Linked DNA regions of Lepisosteus oculatus. The protein of the gene in region 3 interacts with the protein of the main gene of each other region in a pairwise test. Links are inferred from orthologs where the notes say so. Each region holds a gene or a part of one and is shown on either strand. Other genes may lie near its edges.

Evidence for each region.
Region 1: the proteins of mid2 (region 3) and syt17 interact in binary tests that used the Homo sapiens proteins (3 or more experiments, as listed by UniProt). The two-hybrid records come from large-scale screens. The link is inferred for Lepisosteus oculatus from reciprocal best matches to the Homo sapiens genes MID2 and SYT17.
Region 2: the proteins of mid2 (region 3) and unc45a interact in binary tests that used the Homo sapiens proteins (3 or more experiments, as listed by UniProt). The two-hybrid records come from large-scale screens. The link is inferred for Lepisosteus oculatus from reciprocal best matches to the Homo sapiens genes MID2 and UNC45A.

Annotation. Positions count from the first base shown.
Region 1 is NC_090714.1:15,302,984-15,310,620, forward strand, and holds the start of syt17 (synaptotagmin-17), read right to left. Parts: upstream 3,003-7,637; 5' UTR 2,731-3,002; intron 1,945-2,730; exon of another isoform or gene 1,798-1,944; 5' UTR 1,729-1,797; coding exon 1,714-1,728; intron 1-1,713. UniProt on the Homo sapiens protein: Plays a role in dendrite formation by melanocytes.
Region 2 is NC_090700.1:60,912,219-60,920,101, reverse strand, and holds the start of unc45a (protein unc-45 homolog A), read right to left. Parts: upstream 3,003-7,883; 5' UTR 2,811-3,002; coding exon 2,787-2,810; intron 1,837-2,786; coding exon 1,644-1,836; intron 1,471-1,643; coding exon 1,295-1,470; intron 939-1,294; coding exon 849-938; intron 417-848; coding exon 249-416; intron 1-248.
Region 3 is NC_090703.1:28,285,509-28,292,734, forward strand, and holds the start of mid2 (probable E3 ubiquitin-protein ligase MID2), read right to left. Parts: upstream 3,016-7,226; 5' UTR 2,730-3,015; exon of another isoform or gene 2,726-2,729; intron 1-2,725. UniProt on the Homo sapiens protein: E3 ubiquitin ligase that plays a role in microtubule stabilization. Mediates the 'Lys-48'-linked polyubiquitination of LRRK2 to drive its localization to microtubules and its proteasomal degradation in neurons.

The sequences.
Region 1 (7,637 bases), on a different chromosome or scaffold from region 3:
ACGCCCTGCGCCTCCCATCACCCCTCCACATGACACTGTTGTCGTACCCGTGCTGTCCTCATGCTGACCGGTCCTGCTGGCTGTGCCCACATGTGACGCCGTACACCTCACCTTTCGGGCCTGAATACCAGTGAGAGCCGATACTGCAGCAGGATCTGTTTCCTTGCCAGCGAGTTTCTCTTTCAATTTCCCCCATGATTTTCAAGCCTTGCTTGGAAAAACGAGTCTTCTAGATCAGCGCCAATTGTCCCATCAACCCTTCAGTCCAAATCGTTATGATATAAAGCATGATACTCAATTTACCATGAAACCCCTTTTGAAACAAACATTTAAATACAAACTGAAAGTCTTAAGGCGCTCTAAAATTAGATTTTCTTGGGCTTCTGTATAAAAAATAATACCTTTTATATTTAGGACAGATGCCGCAGCAGTTCTACCTGCGGAGTGCATGTAAAGTTAAGTGGCTACAGTTCTCATATTAGCTGGCACTATAATGTATTTATTTAGGCTGTAACATTTTCACTATCCCCAGCAGACGAAGAGCTACATGTGGCAGTGTTTTATTTTCCTGTGTCCCTGTGTACGTCTCCTCTCTCTCTCTCATCACCCTCCCCATTCCCCCCCCCGACAAGTCTGGGCTCACGGCACACAGCCTCCACAGCCCCGTCCCAATGTTGTCTTTACAATTAGCTGTAGCAGTAACCACGGTAACCACAGTAACACCAGCTGGAACGCTGACATCCCCTACTGCTCTATCAGGGCTGATAAAACAAGGGGTCAGAGTGACAGAAACAGGCTCCGTCAGGGACCGGCCAGGGCCGCCTGGTCAGGCAGCACAGCAGCTCACCGAGCCAGGCACGACACAAGAGCCACAAAACAGCATCAAACAGGGCAGACAGCTCCTGTCCCCCTTTCTAACCAGGCAAGCAGACAGAGGAGATGGTGAAAATTTAAAAAGCACGCTGCCTTCAATTCACCCAGACTGGGGTGCACACACATACACACACACAAACAACCTTGTACACAACGGGAAAATGGAGAGGCCCTGCAGTGCTTCTGTCAGCGGGAAACGGATGTTTTCCTGCACTTGGAAAACAACTCAAGCCAACAATGCTGCAACCTGTTGGCAATTCCCCGACCCACGGCGCCGCAACGCAGACCTTCTCAGTGTTGCCTCTGCTGTATGATATTGATTACAGCTGTGCCGAGATGGGGGAGATAATGACCAGGATGGAGACGCTGACATGCATGCAGAAACGTACCTCGATCATAACAGGGCAATTAAAAAATCACCCATCGCAAAGTGCCAGCAGCAAAACAAACAACAGCAAGCAGGCAGATCAATTCCTCAGCAAACACAACGGAGCTCCCTCTGCTTTTCACTCAGGAGCACCGGCACACTAACGACAACAGGCAGGGCTATAGCAGTGTCGCCCCTCCTGTGGGCTTGTTTTGCTACCAAACCGCATTTGGAATGAAACCTGCGAAAGGGAAGCCGACTGGGAAGGGAGGAGGTTTTTTTTTTTCCCCTAAACCCTGCCGAAAAAACGGCGCCTTTTGGGGGGCGAGGGCACTACGGAAACAGACACAGCAGGTGAGGAGTGGCTGGGTTAAAGGCTGAGCGAGCGAGGGAGCACGAGGGAAATGGTCCCAGCGCCAGCCGGATGGAGCCAGGTGACTCTGAGGCGCCGGCGTGTGGTGGTCCAGACCTACCTGGATGTACGACATCGTCGCTTCAGTCGCTCCCCGTCACCCCAGAGCCTGTCCAGGACACCATGCTGCTCCTCTGCTCCCTACCTTGTCCTCAGAAAGAGAGGGAAAATAAAAGCACCAACAACAGCAAGCGCCTGTCGCGACTCGTGAGAGTGATTTATCTCTCCTCAGCCCGGGAGCACCTCTCCATCCTTACACAATCCATTCCAAGAGTGACAAGCCCCCCCAACACACACACACCTCCCCTACCCCCCCCCTCCTTTCCCTCTCTCTCCCTCCCTCCCCCTCCTCTCTCCTCCATCCCCATCCCCACCCACAAGCCTCTCTCTCTCTCTCCCCGGCTCCGGCTCCTGCCTGCTCCAGCCTTGCCCAGTCCTCGCAACTGAAGCACTTTCTCCAGCACTGCGCTCACACACAAATCCTTCCCCCCGCCTGCCCCTTGTTCTGCCATGTTCGCTTTATGATTCATTCAAGTTGCTGGAACACAGGCAATGTTGAAAACATGCAGGCCTTATTACATGGTTTTATTTAACACTGGGCATTTTGACCCAGTCTTAGCTGTGACCTTTCAGCTGCTTTCTCCTTGACTGGGAGTGGGGCTTCATTCGCTGGCTGCCTGAGTGACAGAGCACCCTAATATCCTGTGTGCCACAGTGAGTCCGGACTGGGGTTCGCTCTGCTGGCTTCCCAAGCTGACTGTAGGTGCGGGGGAGTGGGGTGCCGGTGGTGCAGAAATGGGGTGCACGCTTGCTCGTTTGCTAAGGGGCTGTAGGTTGGACTGCTCGGTCCTCGCCGCGGGGGCCAAAAGTTCGTTGTCATGGAAACTATTTCCCCCGAGCCGTCCCGGTCGCTACGAGAGGAGCTGACCGACCTAAACCCCGGCACGCAGAAGTTTTTGACGGCGATGTTAACTTAATGTCCAGTTTACACTTCTGCATACCCCACACAGCTAAGGTTTTGTTATTCCAACGAATTAATGCCTGAATTGATCAATCAGTCGTATCGATTAATACTCACCCGTCAGGACAGATCGCGTACATTTTTTCCAAATCCGCCTGCTTACCAGCTACGCCTATACCACCAGACTATACAACCAACCACCATTCACATCATTTGCAGCGCTCCAAAAATCAATAGCATGAACAGAATGCCGATTATAAAATCAACTTGGAATGTGCGTTGTGCATAGCATTTGTACATATATAATTCTCATACCGTACCCTAATTGTAAGTTAATACAAGAATATATTTTTTACTGGAAAGCATACAAGACGTTAAAGTACCCCTGAGCGACAATTCTCTAATCCGCTGAAAAAACAACAGGCTGCTTTAAGAAATAAATGGAGACTTCAGACGGAGCAGTCCTACAGCGACTCCTGGTGTAAATAGGAGACATGGTTAATAAAAATCGAATCGGGCTGTGGATGAGGATGAATTTTAAACCATGCATCCTATTAAATGGCACAAAACCCCACACTGACTGAGCAGGGATTAAAAAAAAACCCAACATTTCATGACCGGAGTGTAATTTGTCTTACCTTTGAACAAAGTTGCAGTAAATGCTCTTCGGTTTCTAAGAACCCATGGAGCGTGTTTTCTTCCTGGAGCTCACTGAACCGGGGTTCACTTCCTGCAGGTTTTTTGATGAAAACCAGCTTCACCAACATGGCTGGGCACCTTGTTCCAGACCCCCACAACCCTTGGTGTAAAACAGTGCCCCTCATTCTCAATTTTAAATGCGCTTGGCCATAATGAAGCTCATTTAACTGATGTTATACTAGTCCCCAAGAAACAAACAATAAGAAAACAATAGCATTTCAATGCAATTGTGTTACTTCTTATCAGCTGAACAAACACTTTGCATGCAGCCTCCCCTGGCTTGAAGAAATCACATATACAGGTGACTCCTTTTTCACCCCATTGCCCCTGTTCCTCAGGCGACTCCTGTGTAGAGAGACACAACAAGGGAGACATGACAACGAACATGCCGAGCTCTCCAGCAGCGTCACAGACAACTGTCCATCACCTTCCTGCCCCTTCAGAGCTGTCTGACTGGATACTCAGTCCACTTTCCCCTCAGTGCAGTGATGTCAGTCCAGTCAAGTGAAGACTTTCCAGTGCAGTGATGTCAGTCCAGTCAAGGAAGACCCATGCATGACTGGGCACTCTTGCTCCTACTGGGCCAGTGCATTTGCAGGTTTTCATTCCAGCCTCATCTCTTAACAACCTAAATCAGCTCAATACTGGCTCATTACTGGACCATTCTACCAACTGCTCCCAGCTCTTAAGATGCTGCTGCTTTAGAGAGACCTGGAAAACATGCAGACACACCAGTCCTCCAGGACCAGGTCTGTCCACCCCTTGTGTAGCGCATAATGACTGTCCAGGTCTGTGTGGTAATTACAGTCCAATCCAGTAATCCAGTCCAGTGTATTTAAGACAGTCCAATCTAGTAATGACCATACACTCCATTAATGACAGTCTGGTCAAGTCAGTCTAGTGCATAATGATAGTGCAGTTCAATGTGCTAATTGCAAGCCAATCCAGTAATGACAGTACAGTAATGATAGTCCAGTCAACACAGTCTAGTGTGTACAGACAGTCCACTTCAGTGTGGTAATTTCAGTCCAATCTAGTAATACAGTGCATTGCATTCAAGATCTAGTGACAACTACAGCCCAATAATGACAATCCAGTCAAGAGAGTCTAGTTCAGTTCAGTAATAGCAGTCCAATCTGGTAAAGACAGACCAGTCGAATCACGAGTTCCTACAGAAGGGCACTGCCACAGCTTCCTGGGTGCAGCCCAGCTGAGTTAACCTCAGAGAACTCATGGGCTTGCCACCACAGCTAGTGCTCATACATGGAAGGAGATGTAGAAATCCCCAGAGAACATTGCACGGTGCTTGTTATTGTGTAATGCTTTTAACATGTACTCAGAAAGCAAACATTGCGATACTGCCCCCAAGCAAAATTCTGTAAATTAAGACAAAGGGAATGTGGCTTTTGGAATGCATTTATTATGGGTTTTTTTAAATGTGCAATGCTCCTATACATAAATACATATGCATTATTAAACAGAAAGTGCCCAGACATTTTTTCTCAACAGCTGGCAAAACAAAATGTAAAACCCAGCCTAAACTGGAATGCACAAAACAGACACAATAACACTGTCCTGAAAACAGCTTCTGTCAAAAATCCTTCACAAAACTGGACTTAGCTGCAGTCGAGATAGCTGGGCTTTGACATTATGAGGACTCACAGGCACAGAGGACTGGATCCTGCTGGGCCTCTTGAACCCAGCACCTGCTTGAGGAAGACAACATGCAGCCAGTTCAATAAAACATTTGCTCAATGAAGCCACCAGTAACACAAGGTGGGACAGAGAGCGCTGCACCTCTGCAGAAGTGGATCCCAGCCTGCTGCGACTGAGGCGTAACTGCTTCGGCTGCCTTTGGTATATGTTTGTGTTGCCACCCTGCACTTACAACTATAAAAAAAAATAAATTAAAAAAAATAAATAAACGCGACGTGTAGCAGAACCCTTGTAAGTTCCATCTCCATAATGTCGACAAATAAAAAAAGAAATAAAACATTTTTTAATATAAAAATAAGAGTGAACCCAGACATGAGAATCCTTCAGTCAGAATGTTTCCTTTGTTTTTTTCAAGTCTTTGATCGCCATGTGGCCAGTGAAGCTCTCGTGATGTGGCACATAATGGGCAGACCACTGCAGCCAGGCACATTAACACTGCTCGTGTCACACAGGCTGCTTAGACTAGAATTCTGCAGCATTAGCCATAATTTGGTAATCATCTTTAAATTTGCATTGCAATCTCTCGAATGTACCATGTGCCTCCATCGAAGAGCGCTAATGCTTCCTTATGCAGTATATAAACACCTATAGATTTCTCTCGGCTCTGATATCTGTGTAACGCAACTTTCAGAAAGAATGTATTAGTATTGGTGAGTCTCCTTTGAAGTCTGGCTTAGCTACAGATCATGAATGTGTTTGCATTTTTCTCTTTAGGTTTCATACATGCTGGTGGAGGGAAATGCCAGACCCAAGGGGGAACTAAGTATTGTTGCTATTGCTGGAAAGGAATTAGAATATAAGGACACAAAAAGAAGGTTACAGATGACAAGAGGCAATTTGGCTGATCTAATCAGTCCAAGGATCCTGAAAGAAGCCAAGATAATAGCTTCAACCACACGGCTGGGTAGTTCGTTCTGAAGGCAGGCTGGCTGCACTTGATTTTAAATGCGCAATGAGCAATGCTCTGTGCACTGCTTACACATACTATAGTTTCTACTGGTGTGGAAACATTTTAAGGAAAAGGACATTTCTAGAGAGAAATGAGCTAGGTCAAGCAACAATGCGTTATAGAACGATTGTCTATTTTCTGTCTCAAATTCTGAATTAAGATTCAAACTCCATGCTGCTCCATCAGTGTGTGTTGTGCAGGTCCCCCACACTGCAACATTTGCAACTGGGGAATTTCCAGAACTGTCTTGAAAACAGAGTTCCTGTTTGTGGGCCTCAGTCCTAAACATTTTAACCCTTTGTCTGCTCAAGCAGTAGCTTTAGACATGTTCACCAAAAGAGGCCAGTTTCTTGTATGGGAGAATAAGGACGCCATATTTTCTCAGTGTTCAGTGAAGATTCAGCTAGAGGAACCTGCAGTTAATATGTTTTTTGTCCTAAATTCTGTTCTCCAAGAGGAACAACTGAATGGAATTAACTGAAATTCCAGTCCAGTCAGCTTTGCTCCTAGGAGCATTTTGCTGTTTATCAGCCTTCTGTGGATAATCCCTGGAGGCATGGGTTCAAATCCCACTCAGGTCAGAGGCCAGATGCCAGAGGTCAGAAGAGTTTGGTTACTGCGGTCATCCCATTTGCCCCATGTGGCCAACTTTCCTCCAGGTGGCTCTTCTTACCAAAACTTAACTGAAACACATGGGACTTCAGCTGCTATTTCTTCACTGTAAAGGAACTTCAGTTTAAATGCACATGAACCACACCAGACTGAGCCTTATAGCTGATACTCAAGGAAAGTGCAAATGCACAGCTTATAGTACTGAACAGAAAATGTGTTTGTCCCTCTCTTAGAAAGCTTTATCACAGCATTAGAATGCCTGTTTCAGTTGAAGTCTGAAGTTGCACCCAGATACAGGCCTATGAGTTACTTGCACAACGTGACTCACTGGAAATGGTTGATCTGCTATTAACTCCTTGAAGGCAGAAGGGAAAACAGCACAATCATGAGGCTGAGGGACCATCGAGGAGAACTTCAGACACAACAGAAGAAGCTGGGAGAGGTTCGCTCATCTTGTGGAATTGCTCTCTCTGGCCAGCCGTCAGCCAGACTCCCACAATGGGCCTCTTGATGCTGACAGTGGGAGGAGAGACTGATATTGGTCTTGAGAGCCTTTTTGCTGTCAGCACATGACCGGGTGATTCAGTGATTCATACCAGCAAACTAGAATACAGAATGACTATTCATCATTTTAAAACTAGGGTTGCTGAAGGCACAGAGCATGACTTTCTGTTTCAGATACTTGTTTAAATATACCACTTATAATGCTAACTGCTACTATCATAGACATGATTATCTGTTAACGTTTCTCCCTTGCTCATCAGAAGAGTGCCAGTGGCAAACTTCAGGTTAATTTGAGAGTGCCATTTTTTTAAAATGTCAGCTCTCCAAGTTCCTCAGCCTGCTTCCTTTTTACTAATCTGCAAGACCAACTATGCAGCACACTAAAAAACAGCACAGCTGAAGGCATTCTGAGTTTCTCAAACACGGGCGTGGATCATGTCTTTTGGATTTAAAAGCTTTGAATCTGTCATCAGGGCATAACGGCTTATTCAAGTACATTCTGACCAGCTCAGAAGCAAGGCTAGACCTGAGTTATCACGTACTG
Region 2 (7,883 bases), on a different chromosome or scaffold from region 3:
ATCATGGCCTCCTAATAATCCCCATCTCTGACCTGGCTTCATCACTCTGTCCTCCTCCCCACTGATAGCTGATGTGTGGTGAGCGTTCTGGCGCACTATGGCTGCCGTTGCATCATCCAGGTGGGGCTCCACACTGGTGGTGGTGGTGGAGGGGATCCCCATTACCTGTAAAGCACTTTGAGTGGAGTGTCCAGAAAAAGTGCTATATAAGTGTAAGCAATAATTTATTATTATTAATTATTACTCACTCTGGATTGATGCCCAGTGCACAGTCCTACGAGTGTCCTCAGAGCTGACAATGTCGTGTCTTCTTGCTTAGAGTCCAGCAGTCTCTGCAGGAGCCTCACACCATCATTGCGAAAGATCTGCTCTGCACCTGCCTCCTCCCGAGACAGCACGACTAGGTTCTGAGCCGCCTGTGCAGAAACAGGATGAGAGCTATTAGTTGTCTAACATAAAATCTGGCCCTAAGTATCTCATGTGACAAGAATACCAAAAAGTTGTCTTGTTAACTCCTCCAGTCTGAACCGCTGAAGCTCTCAATCAACTCAATCCACACTACTCTTTATGATATATCTTCGAAGATATAAAACTAAAGAGCTGCCTTTTTTAACTGACGCTTTGCAGCTTTGTATGATATAGCTCTGGTGAAAGAAAGGCATTTATCCAAAACAGGCAGAATCTAAGAGTATACATTTACTGATTTCAACATTTCATTATACATTACAAACAGGTTATGCATTCATGAATAGATCAGGATGTCTTTGTTTCAACATGAACAGCAAAGGCCACAAAAAACCTGTCCCATTTCTCTACCCAGTGATCTCTGACCTCCCCCAATACCACACCTTCTGCCTATCGGAAGGCTGTGAGGAGGAGTCCAAGAGGAGAGAGAACATCTGCTGTACGCGAGCATCTGTGGAGGAGAGCTGTAGAGCCTGTGAGCAAGACAGGAGCAAAGAGATACCAGCTTCAGTCTTAATACCCCTTCAACAGCATTTACATTTGGGAATACAATGTGAATTAAAGGGTTTATTTGAGTAGTAATAATAAGAATTGCTTACACTTATATAGTGCTTTTCTGGACACTCCACTCAAAGTGCTTTACAGATAATGGGGATCCCCTCCACCACCACCACCAGTGTGCAGCCCCACCTGGTGGATGACTGCTATAAGTTTTTTGACTAGTTAATTCTCTAGCTATTAGTCAGCCCCGTTTTTTTGTCAATTTAATTCATAAAGTGTAAACATTTTGTATGCACCATAATGGCTGATAAACCCCCATGCACGATACCTTCTGCTGGATCTGAGCTCCTAACTGCCGCAGTGACTCCTGGAAGGCCTTGTTCTTGGGCTCCATCTGTGCGCACCTCTGGACATCCAAGAAGGCCTGGTCCAAACGCCCCAGCTTCTGCAGCGCCTGTGAGCGGCGGAACCGGGCTTTCACATCCCCGGGGTCGGCGTCCAGCGCTGGCCAGAGGGAAAAGACCAAGCAGGCAGCAAGTGAAGAACAGAGCTTACCCGTCAGTACAGACTAATTTGCTCTCGCAGACTCTAGGCTGGCTCAGAAATGATTGCTTTTCAGGCCTGGTCACATCAGAAGCGCCGTGTGAAAGGCTTAGTCTTCATTTTAGAAGTTGTACCTTTTGTAGCATCGGCCTCTGCCTTGGAATAGTCCTCCAGCTTGAGGTAGCAGGCTGCCCGGTTGCGGTGCAGGACAGCACTCTCTGCCTGGCTGTCACTTAGTCTAAGGGCCCTGGTGTAGCAGGACAGGGCTCCCTGGTAATCTCCATTCTTGAACAGGCTGTTCCCATCCTCCCGCAGGGCAGCAGGGTCCTGGGACACACAAAGCAGACAGCACTGCTAAAGGACACCTACAGCACAAGACTAGACAGGGCTGGGCTTCATCAACGACCTATAGATCCTTAACCCCACCATGCTGGGGTTGGCACTACAGCAGAGCTACTCCAAGCAGGATGAATGAAAGGAACGCTGCTCGTTCTCCTCCTGGAATTGGGAGATACAGCACATGCAATCAACCGAACCGTCTTTGGGAAGAGGGAGAAAATCAGGACAATCAAAGAAAACCTGTGTGATTATTTGGAGCCCATACAAACTCCCCTGTGCCACTCATTGGCCTCTACTGTTACTTCTTTAAGAATATATTAAAAAGCCATTAACCACCCCTTAAAAACAGAGGAAGAGATCACATTTCCTTCAAATGCTATAAGGACAAACTAGGAGCAAAATCTCATTTGAAATGACATCCAGAAGAGTACTCATTTGTGCAGCTGGGCAAGTTAGCAGTACACTTCGAGATACATACGTTGCTCAACGGCTCAACAGCAGTATAACTGGGATTTGGAGCTGTAACTGGCCGCTCTGGAATCCAGAGCGCAATTTCTGTTAAGGGATTATATTTGACACCAATACCAAACTACCGAATCAAGTAATGGCAATGGCCATTAGTTATTAAAGCCATTAAATATGATAATCAAAATAAAAGCTATAGATGTTGGCTCAGGCAAATTAACAGATTGATTTGGTTAGAGTCACGGCGTCACTTGAATACGTGCGAAGTCTGTAACAAGTGAACCCAGATTAGGCGTTCTACACAGCTGAGGTATTTTACACGACTGCTTCTGCACAATGTTTCCATGGTGGGTGTTTACCTAACGGAACAGCGGAGTCTACTGATTTTTGTGTAAACCGGTAAAAACCAAACCTACAGTTACGGCAAACATAATGAATGATTTACGAAGCTAGCAGGCGAGATAAGGTTGTACCTTGTCTTTGCCGTTTACACTCATTCTCTATGATCGCACAGTTTATTGCCAAGATATCTCGCTGCCTTCGCCGAGTTTCGGACAGCTCCACGCGGCGTCTCCAAAGTTCTACTACTCTATAACCGATTTTATTTCCTCATTTCATAGCGAGCTCTACAGTTTATGTGCTATATAACCAGCGAGCACAAGACAGCTATAACCTCTCTTCCTTCCTGTTCTCTGGGAGCGGCGTGATGACGTTTCTAACGAAACCCCGCCTACTTGCACGTTCCATCGCCATAGAAGGCAGCGAGAAAGAGATGCTGTCGGACAGTGGGTTTATCTGAACCATTTTGTTCTACTAGTCTGGTTCCAGTACATTCTTTTCATGAAAAAAAAAGCTTACTGAATTACCTTTCTGGAAGTTGCACTCTAGAGAGCCAACATTTGCAAAACTGTATTATGCATGGGATATTTCAGATTTTATGCAGTGTCATGCAAATTGTGTTGAAGCAGTAAATAAATATCTATATTTAATTATATTTAAAGTTCACTTACAGTATCTTTCTTTGTAAAATTCCTCAGTGTGTTAAGAATCCGGTTTGTCTGAGAGTTTACACCTTGTTAAACCATTTTAAGTCCTTTAAATCCTAAATTGGATCAAGCCCCTTTTGTCACGAAAACGTTTGGGACAGATGATGAAAGCTCGATTATAATCTCGATTAATAAACTCTTCGAACCTTTTCAGTCAGACATTTGGCTGAGATGTAGCCCAGAAACAGCCCTTGTTAAAATATGTAACGAATTTGGGTGTCTTTTAATCCTAGATGAAAGTGAAGCTTTTGATACAGCACTCTTCCGCATCACAGTAACATTCATCTTTTTCCCACTCTTCCTTGGTTTGGCTCATATTTGGAGCCAATTAGTGAAGATGTTTTAAATCTGATGTTGTCCCACTGATGTTGTCCCACTGATGTCTGATGTTGTCCCACTACTCAATATTCAGAACTGGGAACTTCACTAATGGAGTTTGTAACGAAATGTTAGGAGAGATGAAGACAGCCAAGTTCAATCAGCCTCAGCTACCAGTAATTCATAATCAATCCTGATGTCATTTCATCACCCAAGCATGATATTATCATATTACTATAATATAGGTGAGCTCCTCCCCCCCCCAAGTTCTGCAGGGGGCACGACCTCCTCGTCCTGTGGCCAGGAGCCTGGCCCTCTGCCAAGCGGGTTGAGCCAAATCTATTCTGGCTAAAAGAGTTAAACATTACAATACACTTAATTCTCGGCTGTTGTTATTCCTCAGGAATTTTAGCGTTGTTGATTGAAGTGCACATAAGGAGTGTCGCAAAGCTTATCTTTCTTCCACTTGCATAAAATTGCTCAGTTCAGACCCATGCTCTGCTGGTGTGGTGCTGATGCCTCTATTTCATCAAGCTGAAACCGTCGTATGTACTCCCACGGCGCCATATGTGCTTCAGGATGTTGAGAATTCAGAAGCTCATCTAACCAAAAGAATTCTAATTCAGCACACACTTACTATCCTGAAACTTAAGTTCTTGTAAATTTCACTGGTTTAAGGTCTTCTAACTAAAGTATGAAGCGCTGAAAGGTCTAGCTCCAGATTATTTCAAGGATTTATTGCACTAGTATAGTCCACCCCTTATTCTAAACTCTGCTTTACACCAGCTGCATTGAAGACTATCTGTCAACACATTTTAAACTCACATAACGACCCATCTTTTCACTAAAGCCTTTAATGTACAGTATTATTTACAGTATTTCGATTCTTCATCTCACAAAATTTTCTTCCACTTTCTTTTTGCTGCTGTGATATAGTGTACACGTTCTACTGTGCAGAACTGTTTACTTGAAAGGCACTCAGAAATAATCATTATGTTTTTGTTTTATTTCTACTGCAGAGGGGTTACATACAATTTTAGCTTTCCAAAAAACAGAGTATACATGACATTATAGGTAAAAATAGAGGCTAATTCCAAACTGAAATATAAAAGAAGAACGAATCAAAAACAATATTTTAGCTGTGGAGCCTTTTTTGTATAATACTCCTCTTGTGAAAGCTTGGCACTTTCTCTACTGAAAGTGAGTGTACCACTTCAATTCTACACACATGTCCTGATTACAGGGTTCCTAATTGAGGTCTTTAAATAAAAAATATAGAGGGATGCACTTGAATTGACTGTAAACCTGATGGCTTTGACCATCATTGAAAACACTTGAATGCATGTAATTCTGAAGTATATAATGTATATAAAAAGAAGCAGGATTAAACCTCGTCTTCTGTTTTAATTTGTCTGGTAAAAATGAAAATACAAGTGAAATATATATATATATGTTTGTTTTCACAAAATACGTCTTCTTTTACCGGTGTACCTGCATTTATATATACTGTACATAGAATGCAGCAAGGGGTGGTAATCACTCCTCTGGCCACCTCACATCATCCTCTGTCCTTTTGCTGCTCACTTCAGGGTCCAGGTGAGAAAGCTCTGTATTCTGGTTGCTGCTGAAGCCTGTGTCAGAAGCCTGGCAGATCCTGTTGCCTTGGAGACAAGGAAGACTCTGCGGGTTCCTGTGCCTATGTGGAGGAGATGGGTTCCTGTTGCCATGACAACGCTGGGGCTGGTTGCCATTAGGAGCACTGAGGCTGGTGGCCCAGTTGAGGCAGGTGAAGTAGTTTCTCAGAGCTGCCGTGACAGTGAGACCTCGCTCGCGACAGAACCACAGAAAATCCACAACCATCAGAAACACGACTAGAGCTCCATAAAGCAGAACAGCTACAAGAGAGAGCGGGCGGCTGATGGGAGAAAGAAAAAAGAGGGCAGAGAGGAACCAATTTCACATCCATTCAGTACATTTCAGTACCTACCATATAATCACAAGTAGTATATATTTATGATTAGATATGCTCAGAAATACTACATGAAATTTTGTCATTGTTATACATTTTACAATTTTAAAGAATTACAATAAAGCCTCCCATTTGTATCCCACTGAGATATTTCAATCTCTTAAAACAAATTTAAAAATAATCATTTTATTTAATAATAAAAATGATTAAATATTAAGGAAGCATAAGTTAATGTTAACAAGACAGAAATAATAACACTTTATTATGGATTAATATTTCAGTTTGAATGGATATATTTCAACATCTTCTGCTTATTACACAAAATTGCAATGTCTTCCATAAAGTATTTTACCAAATGAAGGGAAATTAATTCAGCCCCAGGAATTACATCTGTTGGTGGAATAACTCAGACAGCTTGTGAATGAATTATTGAGGAATTGTGTTATCTTCCTCTCCTAGCTCAGGCAATAACAGCATTTTGAATATATCATCTAACAGGCAGGCTTTTTCCACCATTCTATGAGTGTGACAACACAGTGCAGACACTACATTTATTATTGTTTTCATATGGATAACATGTTGCGTTGTTGCTGACTCCGATTTGTACTTGGTGCAGAACAGGATCCTGTTACACTGTTTACACTTGCACAGATTTATACTACACTATAATACATATCCAATTCTCTCCTAGAAAATACGTGCTGTAATTTAAAATAAAGTAAATAATGCTGAAATTTAAAAACTGTGACTCAATTTGCTTTCTTTACAAGCAGCACGCGCTGAGGCTTGATCAGGAAGATTCTCCGTCCTTGACCAACATCAAGCAACACATAGGCTATGTTATAAAGCAGAAATAAGACACAGAGAATAAGAAGAAATGTGAGGGATGATTCAGGAACAGGTTTCTAAGCCTATGGCAGTTCAGCATCGCCACCAACCTGTGAACCATCTTTGAGGTGCTGCGCCCTGATTGGCTGACGTTCATGGTTCTCTGGAATTGTGATTGGTTGCAGCAGTCCTTGAGGGAGTGTTCTCCCCACTGACAGCAGTAAGATTGCTCTGGCGGGTCAGAAAGTCGTGGGCAGTAGAACCCTGAGTGATGAAGGCCCTGGGCGTCCCAGTATCCCTCACAGAGCATACCAGCGCTGCAGAGACACCCTGAAGAAAGAGGCATGAAAAGGTCATTAAAATCAGCAAAATAATGTGAAGAGTAAGAAGACTCAAAATAAGACAATTTGATATTGTTAAATGGTGAATTAACACAAACCGGCAATTCAGAATGAATGACATTTAAATACTGTAGCCAAAAATGTGGTTTAGCATCTCCTCCCAAACCACACAATGGCTACCGAAGTACTGGAACTATCTATCTAGCTGGGCGTAAGCAGTGTAACCAGCCTGACCAGCAACAGTGTCGCCAGAGGTCAGGCACTGAGACCCGAAACCGAACCATGGTTTGCTCTAGACATCTGACCAGATCATGTAGAATAATAAGACAGCTTGTGGAGACAACACATCTACTGTACGTAAGCATGAGTGCTTCTGAACATCTACGCCAGAAAACAGAATCTCACATCTGCACCCACCTCTCTCCAAGAGCAGCAGCAGGACATGGGTGTGAAATAGATTTGAAGACATCATATTGGAGCTCAGTCTTAGAGGTGAAATATTCTCTGCAGGCTGAGTGTAGAGCCCTTAAAATATAAAACATATGAAATAGTCCATACTGAATTCTCACATATACTATACTTGCACTTATCTAGTGTGATAATCACATAATACACATTTTAGGCATCCACCAAGTGTGTTTTTGGTTGCAGTGGTGCAGGAGAGCATACCTTTATCTCTCCTTTGAAGTTTACACCTGGTTAATTTTTACATTGCAGTTGGAGCTCTGGTGAACACTGGGAGGCTGTGTTGAAAGGAATTAAATAACATATTGTTGTAGAATTTGGATGCAGCTAACTAAACAATGCTCAGTGTTAACTGAATGAATGCAGGACAAATTAAGTTTTAATGGAAGAGCGACATTAGTGACACAAGTCATAACTGATACCTTTTGTGGCTAATAAAATACAAATTCAGAAATGCACATTTCATTAGGATTTCAGCTGGAACATAAAAGAAGAAATCCCACTGGATTCAAAGGTAAATAAAAAAGTTTTATGCAAGGAAGATTAAGGCAATGCCTTACCTACCGCAGGGCTGCTTCCTCGCTGCACTAGGGTCAGTGGAGA
Region 3 (7,226 bases):
GACCCTTCCACATCCTTTCCCAGATCACCCCTGTCACCTATCGTCTTGCCCTCCCTCCAACTGTCAGGGTGCATCCCTCCTTCCACGTTTCTCTCTTGAAACCCTACCACAGATCTCCCCTCTCCCAACCTCGACCTCCTCCACAAATCATTGACGGCCTACGTTCTTACACAGTTAACAAGATCCTGGATACCCACTGGCTCCGGGGCCGAGGGCAGTTTCTTGTCGACTGGGAGGGCTATAGCCCTGAGGAGCGTTCATGGGTTTACGAGGGAGATATTTTGGATCATGGCCTCATTGATGACTTCTTCCATGAACGCTCAATGGGGTCATCAGGAGCCGACCCTAAAAGGGGATACTGTCACATCCCGCACTCGCCCTCGCAAACCCCACTACATTCCCAAACGCACTGTTTCATGCTCTCACTCCTAACTGAACCAATCACATTCTCACAGGCACCAGATTCCACAGATTCTCACTCCTGAACCCATTACACAACCATGTTCCTCTCCCTTCAGTATTTAAAGTTCCTTCACCAAACCCCGCTCACTATTGTAAGGCCTCTTAAGTTTTCTAGTGCACGGTATTTTCTTGTTGGCTTACTCGGCTTTTGGATTTGACTTTTCCCTTTTGATCTCACTTTTTGGATTACGATTTTGGATTGTTTACCTCTTAAACCGGCAGAGCTCACAGCTATGCATAGGATCCTCGGACAACTACCTGCTCCGAGACACCCTGACAGAAAAGCATTCATAACTTACTATTCACAATCAGCTTCCTGAGTGCAGACATTCCTGCCATACTCTTTCCCAGAGTCTTCTACAGCTATTAGCTTTAAAAAAAAAACATCCTCCAAATGCTGCTTAAATGCGTGCTTTGCCTAAGATTCTCCATTTGTTATTTTTTAGTCTTGTTTTATTTCATCAACATCTTTATTCTTAAAAGCAAGCTTCCTCATATTTGTGGCATGTTAATGTCTTTTGTTATATAAGTCTTATTATTTGGACAGACCTTTATCTTCCTTGTTGGAATAATTTATTGCACAGAAAAAAACAGGCACTCGGTAGTAACCATTATGTCATTAATAGCTTTAAATTTTTAAATAAAAAATAAAGGTCTTCTTATTCAAGAAACATTTGTTTCAAAAAATTAATATTAATGGAATTCAGAATCTGGATGGTTCCAGATATTTTCAGCATTGTTTCCATCTCCATTTACACATATTTTTTAAATACCCATCATTCCATAGAAAATAACTATTTCTACATTAGGATATTTCATAGAAAATATATTTATGAACATGCAATTTGAGTAAGAATATTATTTTTTTCTGTATATGATTTTTTTATTCAAAAGGTTAACTTTTTCATGTTTTTTTGTTTCCCTTGTCATTCATTAGAAAAGAACAATCAATCAATCAATTTTTTATTTAGTTAGGATTTTCTAAGTATTGGAATACTTAATAGCAAAGATAATCATGGTTTTATTTCTGTTAAGGCTTATAGCCTATTAAATTATTTTTTCCCCATTATAGTCTATGGTCATTCAATTTTGTTATTCGTTTTAGTATGTCACTCGTTTAAAATGTTTCGATCTCAAGTTGATCATGATGAACTAATTCAAGTACTGATTTTTCTTAATGTTTAATCTTTATTAAAGTCCTTAACAATTAAACACTTAACCTCCAGAAACTTGTTACGGGAACAAAATGAACCAATTTATTTTACCACAAATGTTAACAAGATCATTGCCGTCTTATAACGTTATTCGATTATTAAATAAAAATTAATTACATAAAATCTAAAGGGTGTTTTAAAAGGAAAAATATGAAAACCGAGACCGCGTCAAGAGTGAATGCTAAATATAAAATGTTCACAATATCATACAGCCATTATTGTAATTGTCACACGAAAACACTGATACTGTATGTTTATATAATTTACTTTACATCGGTGTAATCACTGACAGAAATCTGCAAGTCTTTTCTGGGAGGAAATAAATATATGTATCCTTTGCCATTACCTTTATAATGAAGTGAACAAAACACCAGCGACATCATTTTCAAAAACCGTAGCTTTGATACTACAATTTCTCAGAGGCACAAAGGTGGAACACATCTGGGCGTACAGGCGATTACAGAAAATCTACACCAACACAATCACCTCGTCTCATGATAAAGCCGTGCATTTGCCTTAAAACCCACCTACACCCAGCAGTTTTTTTCAGTTATTATTTATAAACGTGAACAAGTTACTATAATTCTATTTTCGTGCAGTTAAATGTTAACATTTAGAAGTGCTAAACATTAAACATCGCTAAGGAAAAAGACATTGCAAACCAACCCAAAAAATAATTTACATTGTTACCAGTCCTATAGACACCCAAAATCTAGAAAATTATCGACAGAATGCATTACAGAATGAAAGAAAAAGTTCAGTAAATGTAAGTCTGTCTTCAGGTAATCAAGCAATGCTTGGCATTTTTATAGTACATGCTATATATCGTATATATAGTACATAATATATGATTATTTTCCTCGTATATTATCAGAACCGAAATATGCTTTGAATTGCTCCAGTATTTGGTATACTCTTTCACTGGTTACGCAGTCATCTAAACGTCTGGCTTTGCTTCACTCTCTCTTGGCTTTTCTCAGGAAAAGAGTGTTGACACGAACCAGAAACACTAAGAAGAGACACACACTGAAGGGAGGGCTAACAGTCACCTACCAGCTTACTATGCCAAACAATCCTTTCCCCTGTCATCTTTGAAGCCTGGAGAAAAACGCAGTGAAGGAGAGCTCCTAGCCAGGAAGGAAAGCAACACAAACGCAGTCTCCGTGTGGCGTAGCAAGAACAAATCTGACTGCTGATCTGCTGGTTAGCAGCACAAACACTGGCTGCTCAGTGAAAAGGCTAAGGTTTTGAATATGCAACTTCAGAGAAAAAAAAAGAGACAGACAATCGCAGGAAACCGGCTCCTCCCACCCATGCAAAAGGAAAAGCAAAGGCGACAGAGCTGGCGCATAAGCTGCTCTACTCTCCGAAGAGGGAAGGATGGAAGTCCTATCCCCTTCATAAATGTAAATGTCAGGTTGTTAAAGACTCAAAAGTTAATTAGTAATGGAGAATTATGAGCAAAGAATACACCATTCGTAATATTCAGAATAATGAAAGCTATAACTAGTCGTCTTTCGTGAACAACCATTTAGACTACGTTAAAAACACGACTCAACGACATTAAAAATAACCGGGAAAAATAATTACAATGAAGGTCATCTATTAGTAAAACTGACATATATTCAAAACAGTGATGTATGAACTCTAACAATTATTTGCACACAGTGCTTGGTTTCATCGCATTGCAAAACGCAGTTGGATGCAAAACGAATGCATTGCAAAACAATGCTAATCAGATAACCTTTGTTTTATTCAAACCTTCACAAAAGTAAGTGTTCTATAGGGCCAGAACTTACTCAGGGTTTCTGTAGTGGTAAGCAGGCTGAAGAGCAAAAGAATGCCCCGGTTTAGTCCTAAACCTACAATGCACAACCCCCCAGTAAATATAAGAGCTATTCATTCATGCTGCTGGATCAAGTGAAACAATCACAGTACCTTGAATTATTAGTGTACAGTACATAACAGTACTGCAATAGTTATTATTGTGGCAGCCTCGCCCGGTGGTGAGGAGGAAGTGCTCCCAGTTACTGAGGATATCACAGCACTGGCTGGGAGCTGTAGCCGGGAATTGTCGTAAGATGACCAGCAAATGATCCTGCTATTTAAATAGACATGTGTTAACTAAAGTGTTCTCTGAAGTTTAGTGTTCCATAAGTTAATTGTGTAGAGTCCGTTAAAGAGTTACCACCCTAACCTGTGTATGTGTACCATCAGTCCCCTAATGTGTGTGTGTAAATCCTAGTTTTTGGTTTTTATTGTGAAAAAAAAATAAAAGTAGGTGCTTGTGTGCCTACACCATCTCCTCTTGTCCTTTATCCTGAGTGAACCTGTAGTCGTTACAATTGGTGTCAGAAGCGAGCAGGATGGACAACCCGTGGCAGATGTAAGCAGACTCTGTCAAGCGCCAGCAGACCCTAAAAGAGACCGGACCCAGCATCAGCGAACACCTGGAGCCTGAGCAACTCCTGGGTGCAACGGTTGGCCACAGCCCTTGCAAGGGCTGCCCAGTAGTGGCCCCGCCTGGGGAAGCGGAGTGAATCCCCACTACTCCTGTCCAGCAGACACTGCAGAGAGGGGATGCGCTTTCCTCAGGGGCTGGCCAGCTGTTCCTGCACCTTCCGGTGTGGGTACAACCCAGTCGCTTTGATGGGGAAGCGTCATGGGAGACGTATGAGGCACAGTTCCAGCTTGCGGGCCGAGACGGAGCTGGCGGCGGCGCTGGAAAGAGCAGCCTGCCAGGTGCTCCTGGATTTCCCAGAGAAGGAGGGGGGTTGACTATGCAACGCTCTCCAGCTACGCTTCGGGGTGGAGGAGGCACCGGACCTGATACAGGAGAGGCTGACCCTGTGGCGGCGCTGACTGGGAAAGCAAGTGGGCTCGGTCGTAGCTGATGTCTTCTTCCTCACCTGCCGAGGATACCCAGCATTCCCCCGGGAGACGCAGCTGGAAATGGCTCTCCAGGCCTTTCTCAAGGCCCTCTTACCCGAAAAGCTGCAGCCCCACTTACAGCTGGCCGTGTTCGGTGGGGCTGGCAGCACCAGCAGATGGAGTGTGCCCTGCTGGCTTACCGAGGCAGCGACAGAGGAGTCCAGTGAGGGGGAAGAGGAGCCAGCTCGTGCAGTAACCCCCGCAGAGCAGCCCCGCAGCTGTTTTGTCGATACTGTGTGAAGAGGGGACACCGGGCCCCAGAGCTTTGCACTCCGAGGTCGGCGTCAGGAAATGGGAGCAGGATAGCTCAGCATAGGGACGGCCACCCCTGAAGACCTCAACCCCCGATTCAGAGAGCACCGCGAAGACTGGTGCCCCGTACACCACCATGGGGCATGTAGAATGAAGCTGGGGCCTGTACCTCCACTGCCAGATCGAGGACCAGCACTGCCTGGCCCTGCTTTACACCAGTTCATCGGTAACCCTACCCCGGCCTGGCATCTTCCCCGACACCGAGGGCACCAATCCCCCAGGATGGGAGGCCACCGACCTGCGGCTGAGGACCATGACAGGACAGCTTGCCGCGATCCGGGGCAAACAGACACTCTCCATCCGTCTGGGTGCAGCGACAGTGTGCCCCCCTTGCTACCTAGCACCCATTCAAGAGGACTGCATCCTGGGGTTGGACCTGCTGCAGCAAGTGGGGGCCCCCCTCCAACAACACCAGGTGGGGGCTCCGATAAAGCGAGTAGGGGTGGATATTTTGGGCCCGTTTCCATGCACTGAGTGCGAGAACTGCTACGTCCTGGTGAAAGTGGACTATTCACCAAGAGGCCTAAGGCCTATGCCTTCCCAGACCAAAGTGCCCCTACGGTTGCCGATGTTTCACTGGAGGGATGTTTGCCAGGCTGGGGGTACCAGAGGAGTTATACAGTGACCAGGGGTGTAACTTTCCTAGTCCTAGGTCTTTGCCAGGGTGTGCCAGCACCTGGGGATCTCTATGACACAGACCACCCCACTGCATCCCCAGAGTGATGTGCTGCTGGAGCGGTTCAACTGGATGCTTGCCACCCAGCTGGTCACCCTGGTGTCCCAGCATCAGTAGGAATGGGACCGCCACCTCCCCCTTGTGCTCTAGTCGTACCGGACTGCGGTCCAGAAATCTACCTGGTGCACCATGGCCTCGCTCATGCTGGGCCAGGAGATGTGATCTGGCCTTTGATTCCCCCGCCCTGAGATGGGCTAGCACTGCCGGCCAGACCGATGTGGGACCTGCAGCAGTGGATGTGGCGAGTGCACAGCTTTGCTCGAACTCACCTGACTCAGGCAGGGATCTGGCAAAAGTGGCACTACGATCTGCTCTGCAGGGGGCCTGCCTTCCAGTCCGGGGTGGCACTGTCCTGGGAGTGACCCGCTGAGATCCTAGGGGTAGTGGGCAAGGTTTGTCACCGTGTCCGGTTGCGAAAGCGGGGGAGAGTGGTGGTCCTACACCGAGACCACCTGGTACCCTACTAGGTCGGCAGGGAGGCTGACTATGGGGAATCCGCTCTGCGGTGCAGCGGCCGCTCACACAGGGTTCCACAGCCATTAGCTGACTATGAGTACAGCCTGGTATGAGTCAAGTGGGGGAAGTGTAGCGCCCTTGCCCGGTGGTGAGGAGGAAGTGCACCAAGTTGCTGAGGGTATTGCCTCACCAGCTGGGAGTTGTAGCCAGGGGATGTCTGGGGGTCCATAAGATGACCAGCAACTGACCCTGCTATGTGAATAGACCTGCGTTAGCTAACGTGTTCTCTGAAGCTTAGTGTTCCATAAGTTAAGTTTGTAGAGTCAGTTAAACAGTTACCACCCTAACATGTACCGTCTGTCCCCTAATCTGTATGTAAATCCTGTATTTTTGTCTTTGTTGTGTAAAAGGAAATAAAAGCAGGTGCTTGTGTGCCTACACCGTCTCCTCTTGTCATTTATCCTGAGTGAACCTGAAGTCATTACATTATCTACATGTATTTGATCCTTAAATATATTATACACATACAGTGGTGTGAAAAAGTGTTTTTTCCCACTGAAATGTTCCCACTGAAAGATCATCAAACAAATTGAAATATTAGACAAAGATAACACAAGTAAACACAAAATGCAGTTTTTAAATGAAGGTTTTTATTATTAAGGGGAAAAAAAATTCAAACCTACATGGCCCTGTCTGAAAAAGTGATTGCCCCCTAAACCTAATAACTGGTTGGGCCACCCTTAGCAGCAACAACTGCAATCAAGCGTTTGCAATAACTGGCAATGAGTCTTTTACAGTGCTGTGGAGGAATTTTGGCCCACTCATCTTTGCAGAATTGTTGTAATTCAGCCACATTGGAGGGTTTTCGAGCCTTAACCGCTTTTTTAAGGTCATGCCACAACATCTCAATCAGATTCAGGTCAGGACTTTGACTAGGCCACTCCAAAGTCTTCATTTTGTTTTCTTAAGCCATTCAGAGGTGGACTTGCTGGTGTGTTTTGGATCATCGTGCTGCTGCAGAACCCGAGTGCGCTTAAGCTTGAGGTCACGAACAGATGGCCGGACATTCTCCCTCAGGATTTTTTGGTAGACAGCAGAATTCATGGTTCCATTTA